Coturnix japonica: one gene and its partner. The protein of the gene in region 1 binds, or shares a complex with, the protein of each later gene. Links are inferred from orthologs where the notes say so. Each region holds a gene or a part of one and is shown in the gene's direction. Other genes may lie near its edges. The genes, in order: INTS7 and INTS12.

Region 1 (7,150 bases):
TGTGATTAAATATGTTTTTCGTAATGCATTTAGTTTAGAAGTTTTTGAATCTGTATTATCAAACAGCTCAGTAAAGATAAACGTGTGTCTTCTGATAGGAACAACTTCCTGAGGCTGTGTGTGCTGAAAGTTACGCAGCAGAGCGAGAAGCACCTGGAGAAGATCCTCAACGTGGATGAGTTTGTGAAGAGAGTTTTCTCAGTGATTCATAGCAATGATCCTGTTGCTCGGGCTATCACGCTTCGGTAAGTAGCACAGAAGTGAACCTAACTTACTTCAAAGCTGTAGCTCTTTTATTGGTGTGCTAATCTGTTCTAACAAAATCAGCTACTTCTCAGAGTGTAGGAGCTGTCTTCCACATTCATCATAAAGGCAAAAGCGGGGACATCTCATAGGGAGTGAGCAGGAGATGTGTAAGTGGAAGAACAAGGTTTTTGCATGCTTGTATTTGTGATGTGAGAGTTGTGCAGATGGCTCCAGGTGAGATGGGAATCCAGTGGGTAGAAAAAACCACACTTCAAGATATCTTTAATGTTGCTGTCCTGCTGCTTTGGTCTCTGTATCTCTAACAGTACCCAGCATTATAATCTTTTCTTCATCTTCCTTCAACTCCTGTGTGACTGAATTAAAATGTGAACAGAGCACTCCTTCTCCCTTGCTTATTCATTTCTCCTATCTATTCAGAACTGTTTCTGTTCTCACTGTTGAAAGATGAGAGTCATTAACAGAGGTTTGGTTTATTATCTCACACACCCATTTCTTTTTATATTTTTGAGATTATGGTTTTATGCTTTAGGATCTCAAAAAAACAAATGATGAGAGACTGATGTTTGTTTGCTTCATTATAGTCACTCTCTAGAATTTTCCCTTTCTTAGTATGTAGTTAATTTTGACTTCTCAGACATGTATTGATTCAATTTGAAGATTTAATGGGAAGAATAGAAAAGGTAGAAACAACTTTGTAAATGCTATTTTAATTCTCCTAAACTACCAAAATGACTGACTTTTAAATCGCATGATATATATTGATATATATTTGTGTATGCGTGCAGTAATGCATTTTAGCATTAAATCTGTTGCGCTGATATCAGAGCTTGGGCACAAAAGTGTCTTTAAAAATGGTGTACCCCATGCCATGGTGTGCTCCTCACTTTATAACAATTGTTTTCCACTAATGATACTCCAATATGGTTACTTTTTTGTTGTTTGTTTTCATTAAATGACTAACAGAAGGCTGATACCAGCATAATCATGTTTTAGCAATATGCCTGCTGTCAGTGTGTCTTTGTTTCTGTAGTGAATGTAAAAGAGCCCTCATTTATATAAAAGCCAAGACTTTAAGCCAGTCCTTCTGTGCTTCCCTTTGATTTCATCTTGCATTACTTCATAGTCAGTCATTGTGCTTGCTCCTTTTCCTGATCTGTGTCTGTAGGATGTTGGGCAGCATGGCGTCTATCATTCCAGAAAGGAAGAATGCACATCACAGTATTCGCCAGAGTTTGGATTCCCATGATAATGTGGAAGTTGAAGCTGCTATTTTTGCTGCTGCCAACTTTTCTGCACAGTCAAAGTAAGGTGGAATTTTTTTCTCCCCCGTTTTTCACATTGCAAAGAATAACAGCTCCACTGTTGCTTACTGAACTTAGTATTTTCTTCAGTGGTGGTAGAACATCCTTCACAGCTGTTATATGTCATGATAATAAGTGTAAGGAAGTCTGAATTCGAGTCTAAAAAAACCTATGAAACTTATTTGAAAGCTTCCATTTTATTATTTGATTATGCACCTGTGTAGGGATTCTAAAATAACTAAGTTTTGGCAAGCATTCTTGTGGTGGTTTTTATTATTAAAATTCATTGTTTGGTTCTTCTGTTGATTTTTTTTTTTTAGCCTGTTTGCTTTCATTTCACTTGGTGCTTTGTCTTTTTCTCTACAGGGACTTTGCTGCAGGAATATGTAACAAAATCAGTGAGATGATTCAAGGTATGTACAAATACTGAGTGATGATATCCAGGGCTTCTTTTTTATACATAAGTATATAAAATACCTCTATACCATTGCCCTTACCCCAAATAATGTGTGTCTTAGTACCAGAAAAAGCCAGTACAATAGCCTGACAGTGTCTCTGTTCCCTGTTACAGGTTTAGCCACACCTGTGGACTTGAAATTGAAGTTGATCCCTATTCTACAGCACATGCATCATGATGCTAGCCTGGCCTCCAGCTCCCGGCAGCTGCTTCAGCAGTTGGTAACATCATATCCTTCCACCAAGATGGTCATTGTTACTCTGCACACGTTCACTCTGCTTGCTGCTTCTTCTTTGGTTGACATTCCTAAACAGGTAATTCTTCTTTCAAATGAATCTACAAAGCATGTTTAAAACAAAACAGGGATTATTGAGGATAAACTGTGATCTTTATCTTGAAAGACTGAGTCTATTGCTACAGCTTATGTTTTTAAACCAAGTCGTGAGAAAGCATTGATGAGCAAAATATAATGCTTTTATGTTTAGATAATGGGCTTTGTGATTATGATTCATATAGCAAGTATGAATGCACAGTGACATTTGAGGTTCAACTAATTATAGTAAAGTCATAAAAATCTATTGACCTTTTAATCCATACATTTGTGGCAGGCTGGTGTCTATTTGACTTACTGCATTGATTTGTTTAAAACTTCTTGGGATGGCTGACTTTCAGGAATAGTACTGAATTTGAGCTAGCTGAGACAACATTCAAGCACTTCACATGCTCTTTATGAAAGTAAGCATGGGCTTACAGGCTGTATTTCTGCAACACAGCCGCCTATGTTGTACATATAAATCAGATAGCCAGGGTGTGTGGATTTCTTATTATTTTTTTCTGAGACAGAGTGTATATCTGTGCTGCTCTCTGTTGACTGCAGATCATGCAGAAATGCCTGAAATACTTGCTACTAGTGTAATCGTGACAATGCAAAGTGTTGTCTGAGGTCCTTGGGAATGTTTTTACCAGTGTTTCTATGAGAGCAGGAATAGCACTTAGGGCTTCTCGGGGCATGTGGGGAGGTGGCAGAGAGGTGTGCTTGAAGAGACAGGAGTGAAGGATGGCAGAAAGCAGCTGTTAGATTGATTCCACTTGCCAAGGAACTGCAGTGCAGTCTTTGCCATGTGGGAAGCAAGCAGGCAGGAAACACATGGCAGTTTCATATGAGTATTTTCAAAATTCCTTCATGAATATTCTTGAATATTTATATAATATCTTTATAGTACAATCTCGTCCCCTTAAATGATGAATTTATCTTGTTACAGGTCCAGCTTTTGTTGCAGTACTTGAAGAATGACCCCAGAAAGGCTGTGAAGAGGCTTGCAATCCAAGATTTAAAGCTGTTGGCTAACAAGATGCCACATACATGGAGTAGAGAAAATATTCAGGTTAATACATTTTTAGGCAAAAGTTTGTTATGAAGCTTTGCAATTAGTTGTGGAATTCCTTCCAAGAGAACAATTTGTGAGGGAAGGAAGCAAGAATATGTGCCTCTGTGTGTCCTTAAATTAGGCATAATCTACCAAGCAAAGTAGCCAAATATAAATGAACAATTGAAGTAATGTAACTGAGGAAAAGCATGTGCTGTTGGCTTTAGAACCTGGTGCTACTGATACTTAGAGCAGTTTGTTAGGATACGTGCAAGATGTTTTCTAGATGCTTGCCAGATGAGCAAGTTCTGGTTTGATTTCAGTTTTGCCTGTTTTGGTCATAGGCCCTTCCTTCTTACAAACAGGTGCAACTAGACCTTTAATACAGATAGTTCATGGAACTTCCTTCCATTTGTATCTTCTCCCTTCTCTTGTAGGCACTGTGTGAATCTGCTCTTCACACACCGTATGACAGTTTGAAGCTGGGGATGCTGTCAGTTCTTTCCACATTATCAGGGACCATTGCCATTAAACAGTACTTCAGCAGTGCTCCAGGTAAGAAAACCAGATTAGATGATAATTCTGGGCATTTTTGGTAATTAGCTGTTTACTCCAGAATAGTTTATAGTAAACATTGTTGCATATTCTGAAAGTATTACTGAACTTCAGGGTGCTAGTTGAGGGTCAAACTGTGTTTATTGTATCTGAACTTGAAATGAGAGAGCATGCACCAATGAACAGTCACTGGTTAAGATTCTGTTACAGATCTTGTGGCTAATAAGCTCTGTGAAAGTTTTGTTTACCTTTGGATTTTCAACTTCTTGACATAAACTAAAGAAACAGTTTGCCTTTTTAAATGGTCAGCCTGTGTTCTGCTTAAGGCACTTTGAGACCACGCATTTGTGTAGTGTTTTAGTTTGAATGAAGGGAGCAGTGAAGCATAGAGGCTTTGTAGTTGAGAAGAAGCAGGCATTCTGAAATGATTAAAGGTATCTCATTCTGAAAATGGAAATGATACTGTCTGTTATGTCTTCTTGAAAGGCACTATGTCTTAATGAGTATAATGAGCCCAACAACACTGGCTGCAGAAAAGAGGAGAAACAGTGTGTTTTCATCAGTTATTCTGGCATGTCTTAATATGCTTGATAGTTCTTTTTTTTTTTTTCAGTCATTAAAATCTTTGGGATAAGTCTAAAGATCTCAAAGTTCCTGAAACATGCAGGTCTAAAGGTTGATACTCTTTTCTTTTCTTAGATGTCTAAGTTGCATTTAGGAAAGAGGAGAGAGTCTCAGTGTTAGCAGGTGTGTAGGAATATATGTTAAAATGGTAGGATAAAAACATATGAAGTAAAATAAGTAATTTTAAGAAACTGAGCACCACAAATCAATATAGCTTTAGTACGGGAATATACTTGAAAATTTCATAGTCTAATTAAACTTTGTGCTGTTATATGTCTGGTTTACCTTGTCTTTGTTTAGGAACAGCGACTACAACTGCAAGATCATTTGATTTAGTAAAATTAGCACAGGAGTGCTGTTACCATAATAACCGTGGCATTGCAGCTCATGGTGTGAGAATTCTGACAAATATATCAGCGTCTTGTCAGGAAAAAGGTAAATGAGAGCAAGGACAATGAAATAAGTTTATTTGCAGTCAGGCTTATGCACTTAACATACATTGACTGGTCTTGTCCATGAAGTTTTCTGTGATTCTGGTCCTTCATGCTGGTTATGGGGACTATATAATCTCTGCAAATGTTTTGTGGAATCTTGTGAATGGTTGGGAAGATTCCATCTTCTACTCATTTATAGAAAATTAATGGACACAGTAGAACTGCTAAAATAAATACTTTTGCTATGAATCACTGAATTGTCTGTTAGCCTTTGGTAACTCTTGGCACAAAATCAGCTGCGAAGGAATAATGGAGCATTTAGGAGTTGTTGTCCAGAATTTTATGCTCACCCTACAAATGTCACGTTTAACGTGAGTGCTGAATAATTACCTGAGACAGGATTGCTTCCAATTAAAGCGAGTCAGAATTATTAGGAGAATATTCATCTGTCATCACTGCAGCACCACTGTAAGCACTATGTTGATTAAAGACGGGAACTATAAAAGGGAACTAACTGACTGTTACTTTTTCTTAGATCTTCTGCCTTTGGAGCAAGATGCAGTTTTTGGCTTAGAATCTCTTCTTGTACTCTGTAGTCAAGATGACAGTCCAGGAGCTCAAGCAACTTTAAAGGTGACCATACTGCTGTATTCATTAGCACAGCTATAAGTTACAGTAATGGTTTCTCTAGCAGAAGAGCTGAAGTGTACCGCTTTTCTGTGGTACAGCTATAATGAAACAAACTTGAACAGGGGGTGGAGGTGTCTCTACAGAATGAAGGAATTCTTGGTAAGGGAGAACCCACATTTTCTGAGATGGGGATGCAATCTGCAAGATAACCATGTTCTTATCAACTATTATTTTTATTGTCCCACTTCATTATCTGCTGCTGGTAATTGTATTTAATTATGTACCTGTAAAGGCATGAGAAGAATTGTTTCTTGGTGTCTTTATGCTTTGAGTTTGGAGATAGAGGCTTATGCTCTAAGGAAATCTCCTTTTTGTGTATTTCTGTAATCACACTTGCAGCAAAGTGTCTGTTTTGGTATTACTTTTAAGTAGGCATTGTATTAACTGTATCTGTTGGTGTTTGTGAATTACAGATCACCTTAACTTGTATGGTAAAGTTGGTCAAGTGCCGTCCTCACCTGAGCCAGTCGGTGGTTGAATCTCTGTTGACGCAGCTGCACAGTGCTCAGGATGCTGCTAGGATTCTCATGTGCCACTGTTTAGCAGCTATTGCCATGCAGCTGCCTGTATTAGCAGATGGGATGCTGGGAGATCTGATGGAGCTCTATAAAGTGATTGGACAGTCTACTACAGATAAAAAACAGGAACTCTTGGTAAGACCTCCTTCAGGAGAATAAACCTTGATGGACAAAATCATAGATAGAATGGTTTGGATTAGAAGGGAGATTTAAAACCATCCAGTTCTATCCTCCCTGTTGTGATCAGGGATACCTTTCACTAGACTAGATTGTTCAAAGCCCCATCCAACCTGGCCTTGAACACCTCCAGGAGTGAGGTATCCATCGCTTCTTGCAACAGCCTGTGCTTCACTACCCTCAAAGTAAATAATTTCTTCCTTTTATCTAATCTAAACCCACTCTCTTTGAGTTTAAAGCCATTATTCCTTCTCCTATTACTACATGTCCTTGTAAAAAGTCCCCCTCCAACTTTCTTGTTGGCTACTTTTGGCAGTTCTGCAGGTGGGGTCTCACAAGTTCAGAGCAGAGGGAAACGGTCACCTTCCTTGACCTGCTGATGACACTGCTTTTGATGCAGCCTGGAGTGCTCACCATGTCCTGGGCTATATCAAAAGCAGTGTCATCAGCAGGTTAAGGAAGGTGACTGTGCCAATCAGGACATGGTGGGCACTATGGGCTGCAGTCATATACTGCACATATTGTGCAGTATATTGTGTTTGACTTTAACACCACCTAGCCCTTTTCCTCAGAGCTGCTCTGAGTCCATTCTCTGCGCAGTCTGTGTCTGTGCTTGAAATTGTCCCAACCCAAGTGCATGATGTATCCTTTGACATTATTCAATAAGAATTTCATACAGGCCTACCTCTTAAGCCTGTCCAGGTCCCTCTTGGTGGCATCCTTTTCCTCCAGTGTGCTGACTGCACCTCACAGCTTGGTG
Region 2 (7,150 bases), on another chromosome or scaffold:
AGGTATGTTCTGATGATGGTCTGTATTCACACATGTTAATATTTTCCTTCTACAGGTACTTCTTAAATTATCAAAAAGACAGTATTGCTCCTGTGGCATACATGATGCTTGTACTACACAGTCTAATTCTTTTCTATGTTAACACCCTGAAACCTAAACTACAATTCTCTGTAATAACACAGGTGTTATGACTTTCAGGAGCTTTTTGTCAGAACTGAATAATACCACAGAGAGGCTTGGGAAGCTGATTGCTGTAGCATCTTGGCAAGTTGTCACTGTCTGCATGCAACAGGAAATTGGGAAAGTTGATGGGGCTGACTTGAAGCTCAGGGCTCATCTCAGTACACAGCAGGGAATTAGCCACTTCCAACCATGTTGGAGGGATATCTTTCTCGTGCACAATGCTCACAATGCTATGATTGATCTCTTGGTTTTTTTTTATTATACATTGCTGATGCTAATGCATCACTAATAAGATCTATCAGTTTCTTTTGAGATCCAAATTATTAAACTGGTAGGTGAATGTGAACTGAGATTAAGACTTGCCTCCATAAAGGAACGATGTATTGATGTCCAGCAACAGCACATGTCAACTTACTTTTAGCATAAATCTTTTTATCTGGGAGATGAGTGTTAAGGGAGATTTTAATAACTGTAGTTTAAGCCCAGTGATTTCTGGATATAAAAGGACATAAGAAATATTTAGAAGAATGTATGTACAGTTGAAAAGTGTTGTGTGACATTTTGTTTGCCTAAACTGTGATCTAACTGCAAAACAGGAGATAGGGATTGATTTTGATAGTTCATTTTTTTTTCCCTGTTTTTAGGAAGTAGAGCAACCAAAAGTATGTGTTACCAAACCTGTTTCCAGTAAGCAAGATCCTAAAGCCTCTTCTAGTTTGCCTTCTGGTAACAACAATGGCAAGCCTACCACATCAGAAAAGGTGAAAAAAGAAACAGAAAAGAGGTCTGCTGATAAAGTGAGTCTAATTTTTGTTCTGTATTGATGTAATCTGGCTAACAAATTAGAAGCTGTTTTAGTAAAAGCTCTCTTCCCATGTAGTCTGTGTAACTCTTGCTAATAGTGCATAGCCTACAATCTGCCTTGTCAAATCATGTTGTTTAGGCAATCCAGTAAAGGTCTAGTTAAAATTATTTCATAAATACTTTAAATACACTGACAAGTTATTAAAATGTAGCAGCCTGAAATGTGGGTTTCTCCAACGCTTTATCAAGATTTTTGTAGTGAAGCATAAAAAGTGGACTTGAGTTTCTAATTAATGAATATTTTGGAGTAGATGTATCAAAGGAAAATATGCTGCGTGTATGCTTTGTAAATATACATTTTTATACTTCCATCTTAAGTGTTGTAGTAATTTTTTCATTTTAGTAAGGTCAATCAGCTTTCTGCTTTTTCATACTCTTTCCCTATAGATGAAAGGGGATGCTGCTGAAGGAGCTGATGTACCAAAGAAGCCCAGACTTGAGAAGCAAGAGACTCGTTCTTCTCCTATTACAGTTCAGACAAGTAAAGATTTATCCATGCCTGATTTGTCGAGCTTTGAGGAGACCAGTGCTGATGACTTTGCTATGGAAATGGGTTTGGCCTGTGTCGTTTGCAGGTAAATCAACAGTGTTTCATTGCAATAATATATTTACTTTTGGTTGGTTTTTGCTCACGTAGCATTCAGTTAATTCTACCCTGCAGGTTGTATTCTGGAAATTACTTAAGTACAAATACAAGATTAGTGATATATGTAAGCATTCTTCACAAATAAGAATAGTTGTTTGAAAATGGAGCCTTCAGTGAATAAAAATGGCTCTTCTTCAGGAAAGAGCAGGTATAGGTTTCAGTCAGCTCAGTGAGCATACTTATTCTCATGTATGCATGGCTACAAGAACATAGGCAGGGAGGAAGGTGGAACTGGCATTTACTAGCTGGACTCTTAGAATTATTGTATTCTAGCTCAGCTTAAGCCAAATGAGAAAGCACGTTTTTGAGGTGTCTCTAGTTCATGGAGGAATTCCCATTGTTGCAGCTAATTATACTGTTAGCTAAGTGTAGAATGATGAGATTTCATGTCATTATTCCCATGTGTTAGCTCAAATGTTTAACTTTTTGTTATAGACACTAAAAAAGGAGGAACAGTTCAAACACCTGAAGAAATAAATCTTTCAATTTTCCTACAGCAGTAATTATAAAATAGCTCTTATTAAAGTGATGCTAAAGAGAGGAAGAAGCATATCAGGAGGAAACTCATTAGAGGATGTTAGCAGTCTCACAAGACTTGGTGTTTGTTTTCATTGTACATGAATCCCGCTGGTACCAATGCCTTCTGGTTCTCAGTTTCCAACTTAAGTTAGATGGATTGTTTTTCAGAACATTTATGTTTCAGGTTTTCTAAATCCAACATATTTGTTAGTACTGCATTCCACTACTTACTGCTCAGCTGCCAACCTAAGGTCCCTTCCTGGGGCTGGGTATCTTAAGTTGAAATACTAACATTTGTTATCTATTGTTATCTATGTAATCTATTTCTGATTCTGTTCTGCTGGGACAAACTAGGCACAAAGAGAGTGCTAATATAACCTCAATCTCTTCAATAATTTTAGGTCTTAGAAAGACAGGACTCAACAGTTACAAGGATCCTCAGTCATATGAAGAAGTAATACTATTTGTAGTTTGCAGCTGATAGTAAACCCTGACAAAAAATTAAAGCCCATTCCTGAAAGAATGACCCTATTTTTTAGGAATACTTGTTTGTTTTCTGAAATTAAGAGATCATTAAGTTTGCTTTTCATTCATCAAATTGTTTAAAAATGAGACTGGTTTAACTTGATTCTGGGAATGAAGAGTTGAGTGTTTTGTTGTTTTTTTTTCAAATTAGTCTGCAGTTGTCTTTGGAACTTTAAAATAGTGAGTCTTCTTGCTTGAGACATAGGGTTAAAGCATCACTGCTTCATTTTTACCCCATTTATTTAGGAATAATAAGCAAAATGGCTTTTGAAATTTCCTGCATCTCTAAAGGGGTGGTAGAATTTTAGAAGTCTTTTGTTTTTTCAGGTAGCCCATTTGAAAGAGAAATATTCCTTAGAAAATGTTCTAGTGTCCGTGCGGACAATACTTTCAGACTACTTTTTCTTCTTATAGAGAAATAAGATATTACCTTTCTGTACCCATCTACAAATAGAGTTTCCATGGTTACCTGGGTACCTGCTCTTCAGGCTTATGAGCCAAAGCAGCTTAGCAATTAAATAGCCTGATTTGTCATCTGAAAAAAAGAAATCATCAGGAAACTGATATTTGGCTAATTTAGACACATTCACAGTCATGTGTACATCACTAATTTGTCACTCATACAGCACGATCACTTTCACCAGAGTCCCACAGCAGAATTAAGTCCTTACCAGCTTGTGTATTTGCTTCAAAACAGAGCTTCACAGTTAATCCTCTGTGTTCCATCTTTTCAAGATTTTGGTATTATCTCGAATTCCAAGTGTCTGTTTGTAGGAACCAAAAGGATAGCTAATAAAACATCAGTAAGTTAGTATAGAGTTGGGATGGTGATGCTTTTGAATCATCCATCAGAAGAAAGCACTCTTACATACTCGTCAGTGCAAAATTATCTGTTCTTGAACTGCATTGCTTTGTAACTTGCAACAAAATTATCCAAATGTAGGCTAGCTCTTTGGATGCTACTGTAATATAAAAATCAAACAGAAGTACAGGAAGCATCATGTATGCCTGTTTCATAATATTGAAGTTTTTAAATTTAGGTTCTCCCATGAAAATCTAACAATTCATAGTTTAAGATATTAGGAAGAAATATCAGCATAGCTCATCTGCTACAGGTAGAAAATATTCATGAAAGCAAAAATATTTTTATTTTTTATCTTAAGCTTTGCAAAATTTACAGCATTTGGATTATCCTTGAAGTGCTTTTTCCAATAATCTGTTCTTAACTATTTGCTCTGCAGACAAATGACCGTTATTTCTGGGAATCAGCTAGTAGAGTGTCAGGAGTGCCATAATCTCTACCACCAGGATTGCCATAAACCTCAGGTGACAGACAAGGAAGTGAATGATCCTCGACTTGTATGGTACTGTGCCCGCTGTACCAGACAGATGAAGAGAATGGTAGGAGCCAGGTTTTTTTTGTCTAGTATGAGCACTATTGAAATAGAGCAGGTTATTTCTTACTATGAGTTACAGAAATCTTTGGTAGAATGTTGGAGAGCCATTTTTCTCGCTCCTTATCACCTGTACCATATTTGATGTGGCCTCCACACCTGCAACTTATTACTGCTTTATTTCTCAGTACTTTTCAGTTTCAAATTGTAAAGGCTAGACTGCAATATGATAATGCTCATGCTTTCTTAAAGCAGAATTGTAGGATCTCTAACTAGTTTTGTTTTGTTTTTCTACCACTCAGGCTCAGAAGACACAAAAACCACCTCAAAAACCAGCTCCAGCCGTGGTTTCAGTTGAACCAGCTGTGAAGGATCCATTGATCAAGAAATCTGAAATTAAATTGAAACCTGAGACCCAAACAACTTTTCTAGCATTCAAGAGAACAGAAGTGAAGGTAAAGTACTATAAATTTTCTAGAAAAGAAGTTTACATTTTACTGTATATCTCTTTTTTAGACACATTTTCTCACAAGCACAATGAATGAATGTGGTCTGCTGTACTATTTATACTGAATGGTAATACAGCATAGTGGTTTTGCATTAGCATCAAAAGAGTATGGGGGGCAATACCTCTATTCAGTTGTAAGTCCCTGAAACATTCAGTATTTTTATGTTAAGAGGGACAGAACAGAATTTACTCTAAGAATTTTTCTTAACGTTATTTTATACAGGCAGGATTTTATACAGGTCCTCAGAACACTATAAAAGATAATATTTATTCTCTGTGGCCAAGTAATGTACATATATTTTGGTAGTTAGTCTTCTCCTCATGGCAGTAGGGAAATACAGCTGATTCTGTAGGGTCTAATTTAGAAACTTGAGACAACATATATTAGCTTTCTACTTCTTTACCAAGTGTTGTTTTTTCATACCTGTTGTTGCAAGTTGGTTAGGATGATAAACCAGAAACAGTATACTAAATGACAAAGAATTTGAACAGTGATGCTTACTGAAGGAACTCACCTGTAACGCAGAGTCAAAGCAATCATTTATGTTCTCAGATGTAAATTTGCAGTTGTGCTGCTTAGGTGGAAACTGCTCTGAATGACATGATGGCTTTTTTTCACCATGGCCGTAAACTAGTATGAGTCTGGTTTTAATAAGTCAACATCTGTATTATCCCCAGCTGAAAACTGGGGATTGGTTGAGGTTTGGGAGCTGCAGGTAATGTATACAGTGTCTTGCATTCAATGGAAGCTTTGTCTGGAGAACATTTGTCTTTTGTGGTGCCTGAATGGAAAGACTAGAGGAAAGAAGTCTGATGACTCAGTTTCTTTAAAACTGTGTGGTGGGGTATAGGCTGCTAAGAACAAAGATGGGTAAAGGAAAATTTTGATTCTTATACTTTAACCAAAAGAATGCAATAAAATGCAGTGTTTAATTACTAGGGAGCTGTTGTTTTTCTGTTGCTTTTTTTTTTTTTTTAATCTCAATATCTGTTATCTTGTGACACCAGTTAATGGCAAACAATAAAAAATACCGGCTTGTCTCCTGTGTTTATACTTCACAGGTCTGCACAGTAGTTATTTCAGTAAAACCAGTTTTAAAAATTTATGGGGGGATCTCATTGCTATATAATAGCCTGTGTAGAAAAAAAGGTATTGGTTTTATTTGGCTGGGAAATTTAAAGTTATTGGCACCTGCATCCTTTTCTTTTCTTGTTACTGCTTTTTTTAACTACAGTGACCAGGGATGAAATATTGTCTACTGTGTGTTTCTGGATAAAGAACTAAAACAGAGGCTCAATCTCATCCTGCTATGATGTATTATACAAATAAATGCTGCTATAACAAGAATGATTTATTTTTTTTTAGCCCTCAGCAGCAGTTTCGGGGAACTCAGCCAGTACAAGTGTTTCCTCTTCAGCAACCACAAGTGGCCTTACAGGATGGGCTGCTTTTGCAGCCAGAAACTCCTCTGCCAATCCATCAACTGCCAAACTGGGATCAACAGCACAGAATGCCAGTGGGAAACCTGCAGCAGCTTCAAATAACCAGAAACCTGTGGGTCTGTCAGGGTTGGCAGCTTCCAAAACGGGACTAGGGTCAAAAATAGCTTCTGCTAACAATAGCACAAGCCCTGTTCAGCTGAAACCTCCTCCACCTCTGACATTGGGAAAAACCACTCTTAGTCGTTCGGTAAGTAGCGACAATGTTAGCAAAGTAGGCCTTCCTAGTCCCAGCAGCACTGCACCAAGCACCAGCAGCCAGGTGAGCAGTGGGAATGGCAACAGTGGGACTGCAGGTAGCAGTGGGGGTAACACAAGCAAAACTACAGCAGATGCGGGTAATCAGTCTGCCTCCCTGAAAGGCCCAACTTCTCAGGAATCTCAGCTCAATGCAATGAAGAGGCTACAAATGGTCAAGAAGAAGGCTGCTCAAAAGAAACTCAAGAAGTAGTGCAGCTGTTTGCTGATCTTGTTGGCTGTGATCTGCAAAACAGCAGCATTTATCTTTTATATTAAAAAATCCACGAGTTACTGGACTGAACCAGTAATTAGGGAAGCCCAAACCTATGCTATACAGGAGGTAAGAGGTAATCTTAGCATTCCTTCTGATGTTATAAATCTGAAAACTGAGGTTGTTGTTAGAGGAATATTCCCTATTATATGTTGTTGGTTTTTAGCTCAAAGCAATGGAATGTAAAATTGTAAGCATTGGGAATTCTGATGTATTTAAGAATACAATTTGTGGGCACAAATTGAACTTAAGCTGTCATCATTCAGCATTGCGAATAAAAGTATTAATAATCTGGGAAGTCACTGCCACTTTCTTTCATCCAGGTTTCTGATGCTTAACATGCTTCATCAAGTTGTCTGTGTTGGGCAGTTAATGGAGTTCTCTGCAGATTGCACAACACATGTGAGAACTCTAAGTGACCTATTTTGTTCTTTTGCACTAAGAAGTTTCTTTGTCATTTTGTAGCTCTTCTCTGAGGGAAGAGTAGAAATGACCCCTAA

The links.
Region 2: INTS7 (region 1) and INTS12 share a complex: the UniProt entries of both Homo sapiens proteins name them as parts of the integrator complex. The link is inferred for Coturnix japonica from reciprocal best matches to the Homo sapiens genes INTS7 and INTS12.

Annotation. Positions count from the first base shown.
Region 1 is NC_029518.1:19,454,114-19,461,263, forward strand, and holds part of INTS7 (integrator complex subunit 7), read left to right. Parts: intron 1-98; coding exon 99-245; intron 246-1,432; coding exon 1,433-1,570; intron 1,571-1,934; coding exon 1,935-1,981; intron 1,982-2,139; coding exon 2,140-2,339; intron 2,340-3,287; coding exon 3,288-3,410; intron 3,411-3,829; coding exon 3,830-3,947; intron 3,948-4,871; coding exon 4,872-5,006; intron 5,007-5,540; coding exon 5,541-5,638; intron 5,639-6,108; coding exon 6,109-6,348; intron 6,349-7,150. UniProt on the Homo sapiens protein: Component of the integrator complex, a multiprotein complex that terminates RNA polymerase II (Pol II) transcription in the promoter-proximal region of genes.
Region 2 is NC_029519.1:34,250,303-34,257,452, forward strand, and holds the end of INTS12 (integrator complex subunit 12), read left to right. Parts: intron 1-827; coding exon 828-980; intron 981-1,434; coding exon 1,435-1,622; intron 1,623-3,978; coding exon 3,979-4,138; intron 4,139-4,433; coding exon 4,434-4,586; intron 4,587-6,005; coding exon 6,006-6,590; 3' UTR 6,591-6,948; downstream 6,949-7,150. UniProt on the Homo sapiens protein: Component of the integrator complex, a multiprotein complex that terminates RNA polymerase II (Pol II) transcription in the promoter-proximal region of genes.